Linked DNA regions of Sus scrofa. The protein of the gene in region 2 binds, or shares a complex with, the protein of the main gene of each other region. Links are inferred from orthologs where the notes say so. Each region holds a gene or a part of one and is shown on either strand. Other genes may lie near its edges.

Region 1 (4,482 bases), on a different chromosome or scaffold from region 2:
AAAGAAAGAAAGAAATGGACCTTTGAGTGTTGAAACAATCAGCCAACAGAGCTGGGAGGGAGGCGGGGCTTCAGAGGCCCCATCTGGCATTGCTCAGACTTCGCACCGCAGCTCACAGCAAGGCTGGGTCCTTAACCCACGGAGCGGGGCCAGGGATCGAACTTGAGTCCGCATGGATACTGACCGGGTCCGTTACCACTGAGCCACAACCACTGCATTTCACATTTGAAACAACTTTCGAACTCAGAAACCTCAAACGTAGCTCTTAGTTACATACACACACGCGTGCACCCTCGCGCACACACACACATGCACTAACACTGGTCCACTTAGCATCGTCCTAGAGGAAGGCCCAGGGGCCAGGCTGGCCTGGAGTATGGGAAAGCCTGACTTACAAGCTCACTTGGGGTGACCTGGCACCGAGTAACTGAGCCTCCTAAACAAATTCTCAGAGGTTAACGTGACCACCAGTGTCCGTCAGTTAATCAGTTATAAGAAATGCATGTTCTGGAGGAACCGGCACCACCACTCACGGGACTGTGCCCTCTACCTGGGGACCAAAGCGAAGGGTGACATATACCCATGCGAGCCGCCTGTGCGACGCTCAGAGCAGCATGTCCTGGAGGAGGCCTGAGGCAGCGAAGGGAGCAAAGCCGCACTGGGCACCTTAAACGCCCCAGGGCAGGGTCCAGGCGCTCTTAGTTAATCCTTTAATGACGAGACCGCCTCTGAACCAAGACCTCAGGCGCGAGGTCGGGGGTCCCTAAGTTCAGCACTCAGCACACGTCTCATGGGTGGTTAGCACGCGCCCGGCACGGAGGCCAGAACCGAGGGGACCTCGTCCCCACCTCAGGGGTCCCTTCTGCTCTGGGAGACAGAGCTGCGTGCCTGGAGGGTGCCAAGCTCTGCGGGGCTGCGGGGTGACACCTCAGGGAGACACCAGAGCCAGAGCGTGGGCCGGGTGGACGGCTCAGAGGCCTGTTTCCACAGCAAAAGCTGAAGCTACGGGGATTCTGTCCAGCTGCGCAAGTCAGAATGAAGTGTGTGTGTGTGTGTGTGTGTGTGTGTGTGTCCGCTTCCTTTAATGACAGCACCTTGACCACATTATAACCATGGAATAGAAATCAAGGTGAAACAAGAGATGTTCACGAGTGCAACAAAGCATTGTGCAGTTTACCAAAGTTTGTGTTCGCTCATAAATTATTAATCACTTCCATTATAGGTAATGCAGCCACAGACTCACACCTGCCCCAGGTCCATGAGGCACCCCAACCAATCCCCCCCTCTAAGTGCCACTGTTTAAATCTGCAGTGTAACATCGCCTATTTTAATTTCCATTGACTTCCAGCAGTTACTGCAATGCAAGCCAAGAGTCGCTATCTTTTTTTTAAAGTTAAATACTAAAAAAAAAAAAAAAAAAATTGAAAATAAATACGGAAAAGAGACTTTCTTCGGTGCCGAAGAGGCTGAAAGAACAAGCACGGCACAGCGGGCACCCCGGGACCTCCTACAGGGCCCAAGTTCCCCATCTCATGAGCAGGCGTGAACCAGACCTCCGTCACTGCCGCCGTCTGCTCGGTGACACAGGACCCTCCGGGGCGGCCAAGGCCACTCGGGCAGGGTTCTGTGCACAGCGCCCCCATCCGCCCGGGGCTGGCACAAATGAAACTCCAGGCTGCGGCTGGCCCCTTTCCTGACCTTTTCTTTTCCTTTTTTTGTTTTTTTGTTTTTTGGTGTGTGTGCGCGTGTCTTTTTAGGGCCACACCCACAGCATCTGGAAGTCCCCAGGCCAGAGGTCGAATCAGAGCCACAGCTGCCGGCCTACGTCACAGCCACAGCGATGCGGGGTCCGAGCTGCGTCTGCGACCTACAGCACAGCTCATGGCAACACGGGATCCTTAACCCACTGAGGAGGCCAGGGATCGAACCCCCATCCTTGCGGATACTCATCAGTTCTCAACCTGCTGAGCCACAACAGGAAGTCCCCGATCCGGGGTCCCAACTACAAATCCACACGGACTTTGCTCTTCCCCAGCAGACATGACACCTGCAGCCCTTACGCCCCAAGTGAGGACGGATGAACCCAACAACCCACAAGCAGCTCCTCGCCTTGCCCACCAGCCATCTGGAGCCGCCGGTTTTCAGACCCGGAAGCCGGCAGGGACGCTCCGCTCCACCTTCCCGAAGCAAAGGTCAAGGACCCGGCCAACCGAGCTCACAAACACAGGCCTGAGGGGCCCGAAAGGTCCTCCGAGGTGGCTCTTTCCAGGCTGCGTCAGCACCTACCTCGTTCTCCACGGAACACCCCGTCGGAAAGCCAGTGTGAGCAGCGATCTCTCGGGAGGAATCCTGGTTCCTCCCCCTCTGCCGAGAGCTACCGTGCATCCTTCTCTTTTCACTTGTGATCTTGTTGAAAAACAGAGTCAGATGTCAGCCCTCCCTCTGAAAAAAGCATGTGAATGAACAGGAAGACCAGAAACCACAGCTTCCTTCTGCACGCCCCAGTGAAGCCGTCCGCAGTTTTTAAAAAGGTTGAAGGAGCAGGCGACACCCCGAGACTGCTGGCAAAATCCAAAGAGACTGCGAGCACAAACGGTAAGAGTTTTTTTGTGGCACCGCGAGTTGAGCATAGGGGTTGTCACTGCAGCGGCTCAGGTCACTGCTGTGGTGCAGGTTCGATCCCTGGCCGGGAAATTTCCATATGCTGCAAGCACGCCCCCCGCCAAAAGACCCAAAGTAAACCCACACATCTTCGCACTAAACCAGCCCATCTAACTAAACCAGCCCATCTAACTAAACCAGCCCATCTAACTAAACCAGCCCATCTAACTAAACCAGCACACACACCCCCCCACTACCTCCAGCACGCAGAGCCCGTGGCCACCCGCACTTGCAGCCGATACCGTACAGTCGGCTCGAGGACATTGCTGCGGAAGTCTGGCCACGGTGCCCCTCCCAACACCCAAGCGAGAACACAGCCGACTGAGGGCACTGCTGGGGCTCCCCCTCCTGACCGTGCGGCGTCACCTACATGGCAGGACCTGCCAACATAGCTGTTTCAGGCTGGCTGCTGGCTGCCTCGGGGCACACAGTCCAGAGGCAGGCAGGGCACAGCTGCAGGACCTCCAGCCTGCAAAGGCCTCTACCTGCGTCCAGGACGCCCGAGTTTGAGACACAACTCTGAAACTGAGTGTCCCTCAACAGGCTCATTTTACCTTCTTCAGGGTTAAATCTGATCCTGAAAAGGAGAAGGTGGGTTTGTTGACGGTGAAGGTCCATACTCTGGATATTCCACAACGGCTGCCAACAGGAGAGGCTAGTAATTAACTGTAGTGGTTAACGAGAGTGACCCATATCCTCACAGCTCAAAACGAAACAAACAGGAGTTCCCGTCATGGCTCAGGGGCTTGTGAACCCGACTAGCATCCGTGAGGACCTGGGTTCGACCCCTGGCTTTGCTCAGTGGGTTGAGGATCCGGCGTTGCCGTGAGCTGTGGTGTAGGTCACAGACATGGCTTGGATCCCACATTGCTGTGCCTGTGGTGTAGGCCAGCAGCTTCAGCTCTGATTAGATCCCTAGCCTAGAACCTCCATATGCCGCAGGTGCAGCCCTAAAAAAAAAAAAAAAAAAAAAAATTTCACTAATACTTGGTTTGTTAATATTAATATTAGATTTGATCAAATCAAAGTGCTAATTTTCACAACAGTTTTCTGCCCATAGGAAAAAAAGGGCTATTTCAGGAGTTCCCATTGTGGCTCAGCAGTAATGAACCCGACTTGAAGCCAGGAGGATGCATGTTTGATCCCTGGCCTTGCTCAGTGGGTTAAGGATTGGGTGTTGCCATGAGTCGTGGTGTAGGTCACAGAGGTGCCTTGGATCTGGTGTTGCTGTGGCTGTGGTGGAGGCTGGCAGCTGCAGCTCCAATTCAACCCCTAGCCTGGGAACCTCCATGTGCCGCAGGTGTGGCCCTAAAAAAAAAAAGGGGGCTATTTCAGTTCAATTTAAACTGTAACAAAGCTTAGTATTTCCTGGTTTCGAAAAGACTGGTTCAGAACAATAATTCCACGCGTCAACTCCTACTGCCTACGGCACAGGCGTAGAAAGTGCAGTGGGCCAGGAAAGCAGTGCTGTCCTAGGTGGGAGCAAACATCTGGATCGCCTCCCTTTATCTTTCACAGACTCGAGGCACTGTGTACACAGGCTGGCTCCACTCTCTCCCTCCTACAAGCCGCCCCTGCAGAGCAGGACCAGGTGGCCCTGAGGGCGAAGGGGACCAGGAGTGAGACAGAGATTTCAGGATGCGGAGTGGCCCCCACACCTCATGGTGGTGATCGCAGGGCCTGAATCTTGCTGCCTGCTCCCCACCAGGTCCCCCTGCAGGTGACACACAGCTCTTCCTTTTTTTTTTTTTTTTTTTGTCTTCTTTTTTAACATTTCTTGGGCCGCTCCCGCGGCATATGGAGGTTCCCAGGCTAGGGGTC
Region 2 (2,462 bases):
AGGCAGGGGGAGTTCCTGCTGTGGCACAGTAGGATCAGTAGCTTTGTCTCTACAGTGCTGGGATGCAGGTTCGATCCCTGACCCAGCACAGGGTGAAGAATCTGGCCTTGCTGCAGTGTAGGTTGCAACAGTGCTTCAGATCTGATCCCTGGCCCAGGAACTCAGTATGCTGCAGAGCAGCCAAAAAAAATTTTTTTAATTTACAATTAAAAAAATAAATGAAGGCAGGAGATGAGATCCAAGTGAGTAGTAGATGTGACAAGGGAAACGAGTTTGGAATGATGCAAGGAAGGAGCCGAGCCATGAGCCAAGAAATGCAGGCAGTCTCTAGAAGCTGAAAGAGGCAAGGAGATGGAGTCTCCCCTCGGAGCCTCCGGAAGGAACCGTCCCCACTGACATGTTGATTTTAGCCCAGTGAGACTAATTTCAGTCGTCGTCCTCTTTTAAAAAAGTTTTTTTTTTTTTTTTTTTTACTGATTTGTTTGATTTTTTCAGTTGTAGATCTTTATATTTTCATGTCGATCTGGTTCTGTCTGTCTTCTTTTAACATTCAATAGTAGTTTTACAAGCGTAAATGAAAAAAAAAAAAAAAAAAAAAAAAAAAAAAAAAAAAAAAAAAAAAAAAAAAAAAAATTTTTTTTTAAATTTTTTTTGCTTTATAGGGCTGTACTCATGGCATATGGAGGTTCCCAGGCTAGGGGTTGAATCCAGGCTTAGCCACCGGCCTATACCACAGCCACAGCAATGTGGGATCCAAGCAGTGTATGCGACCCACACCACAGCTCATAGCAACACTGGATCCTTAACACACTGTGTGAGGCCAGGGATCAAACCTGCAACCTCATGGTTACTAGCCGTATTCATTTCCGCTGCACCACAACACGGGTATAACTCCTAATTTTAGACTTCTGATCTCCAAAACAGTAATAAATTTGTTGTTTTTTTTTATGCCACTAGGTTCATGGTAATGTATTACAGGAGCAATAGCAAATTAAAAGTTATGTCAGGGCTCTTTCTGTCCTTGCCAAAGTGGCTTTCTTCCCCAATCTCAAGAAGCGCCCAGGTTGGTGTAGGCCGATGAAGCCCCTGTGGACGAAACTGATGGATTTTTGAAGCCTCTTCTGGCCTTGGGGTCCCTTTGGAGGGTGTCAACCCTCAGCTCAGCCCCTCCTGCCTCAGGGTGTTCTGAGAAGGGCAGGTCCTTTCACAGCGGTGGGCAGGGCAGCGGGAGCCTGGGGCTGGCTCTGGGGTAACAGGGGTTCTCTCTCTCCAGGAGCCTGGGCTGCACTGTGGTGGAGATGCTGACAGAGAAACCACCTTGGGCAGAGTATGAAGCCATGGCCGCCATTTTCAAGATTGCCACCCAGCCCACCAATCCTCAGCTGCCCTCCCACATCTCTGAGCACGGCCGGGACTTCTTGAGGCGCATTTTTGTGGAGGCCCGCCAGAGACCTTCGGCCGAGGAGCTGCTCACACACCACTTTGCACAGCTCGTGTACTGAGCTCTCAAGGCCACGCTGCTGCCGGCCGCTCCCTGCTGCACAGGCGAGGGGCTGCTTCGGGGCTCAGCAAAGTTGCTGCTTCTCCCAGGCCAGGCTGCGGACCATGGAGCTGCAGACCAGCCAGTGCTCTCTGTGCCCTTCTACCACTGGGGCTCAGAGCCAGGTGGGGTGGCTGCGGCCTCAAGGACTGGGAGCCCCCAGCCTGCCAGACCCGAGAGCTCCAGTGTCCTCAGCTCGGCCCAGAGGGAAGGGGCAAGGAACAGTGTGCAAGGCACCGTGGGCCCCACCCTCGGGTCTGTGTCCTGACACTGCAGTCTGCACCAGACCCCACAGTCTGGGAACACAGGACTGACTCCAGGGTCTGAATAGTGTTACTTTCATTCAGAGTGTTACTTTGTTTCTCCCCTGTTTGGAGACCACCAGGGCATCTCTGGGCTGGATGAGCCCACCCAAGCCTGAGGTAAAGCCTAGCATCCCACAGCCAATGGAAAGCAGAGGCTTGGGCCCTGCTCCCCCGGAGCTCCCAGGCCAGCTTTGCCAGTTCCTGTCCTTTACCAAAGATGAATGAAGCAAATGTTATGCTGCCTTATTCAGGGAAGGAGGAGCCTGTCCTGCCTGACCCCATGACCCTCACCTCCTCCCACCCTCGAGCAGGGGCCTGAGATGTGGAACTTCCCCCACTGAGGGGGAGACCCAGTTTTGTCAATGCAATTGTCTCTGTTTTACAAGTTGCAGTCACTCTTATGCTGTACCCAGTTTTTAAACTGGAGACTTTGTGTGCCCTCTGGGCTCTTGAGTTCCCCTGCTGTGGGCTTGGGCCTTGGGCCAGATTGTTAAGAGCTGAAAGTCATGGCTTTTGTGTTCCTGACCTGGCACCTGTTCTCCCACTAGAGCAGAAGGAAGATGGACAACACAATGCCGCCATCTGAGCTGGCGGGCCACCCTGAGCGGGCTGTTCAG

What was found.
Region 1: the proteins of MAP3K3 (region 2) and CCM2 are in contact, whole or in part, in a crystal structure (PDB 4Y5O), measured with the Homo sapiens proteins. The link is inferred for Sus scrofa from reciprocal best matches to the Homo sapiens genes MAP3K3 and CCM2. Residues at the interface, in NP_002392.2 of Homo sapiens: Asp2, Glu3, Gln4, Ala6, Leu7, Ser9, Ile10, Met11, Asn12, Asp13, Leu14, Val15, Ala16, Leu17, Glu50, Asp82, His84, Met86, Asn88, Glu89, Leu90, Ser91, Ile92, Leu93, Arg117, Leu119, Leu121, Ser122, Gln123, Asp124; in NP_113631.1 of Homo sapiens: Leu299, Tyr302, Met303, Leu306, Arg307, Ser312, Gln313, Ile315, Gln316, Gln317, Phe318, Ala319, Ala320, Leu321, Leu322, His323, Glu324, Arg326, Glu333, Ile336, Asn337, Gln340, Leu341, Leu353, Phe356, Pro358.

What each region holds. Positions count from the first base shown.
Region 1 is NC_010460.4:50,427,156-50,431,637, forward strand, and holds the start of CCM2 (cerebral cavernous malformations 2 protein), read right to left. Parts: upstream 2,960-4,482; 5' UTR 2,859-2,959; intron 2,800-2,858; exon of another isoform or gene 2,407-2,799; 5' UTR 2,386-2,406; coding exon 2,287-2,385; intron 1-2,286. UniProt on the Homo sapiens protein: Component of the CCM signaling pathway which is a crucial regulator of heart and vessel formation and integrity. May act through the stabilization of endothelial cell junctions. May function as a scaffold protein for MAP2K3-MAP3K3 signaling.
Region 2 is NC_010454.4:15,230,518-15,232,979, reverse strand, and holds part of MAP3K3 (mitogen-activated protein kinase kinase kinase 3), read left to right. Parts: intron 1-1,273; coding exon 1,274-1,502; 3' UTR 1,503-2,462. UniProt on the Homo sapiens protein: Component of a protein kinase signal transduction cascade. Mediates activation of the NF-kappa-B, AP1 and DDIT3 transcriptional regulators.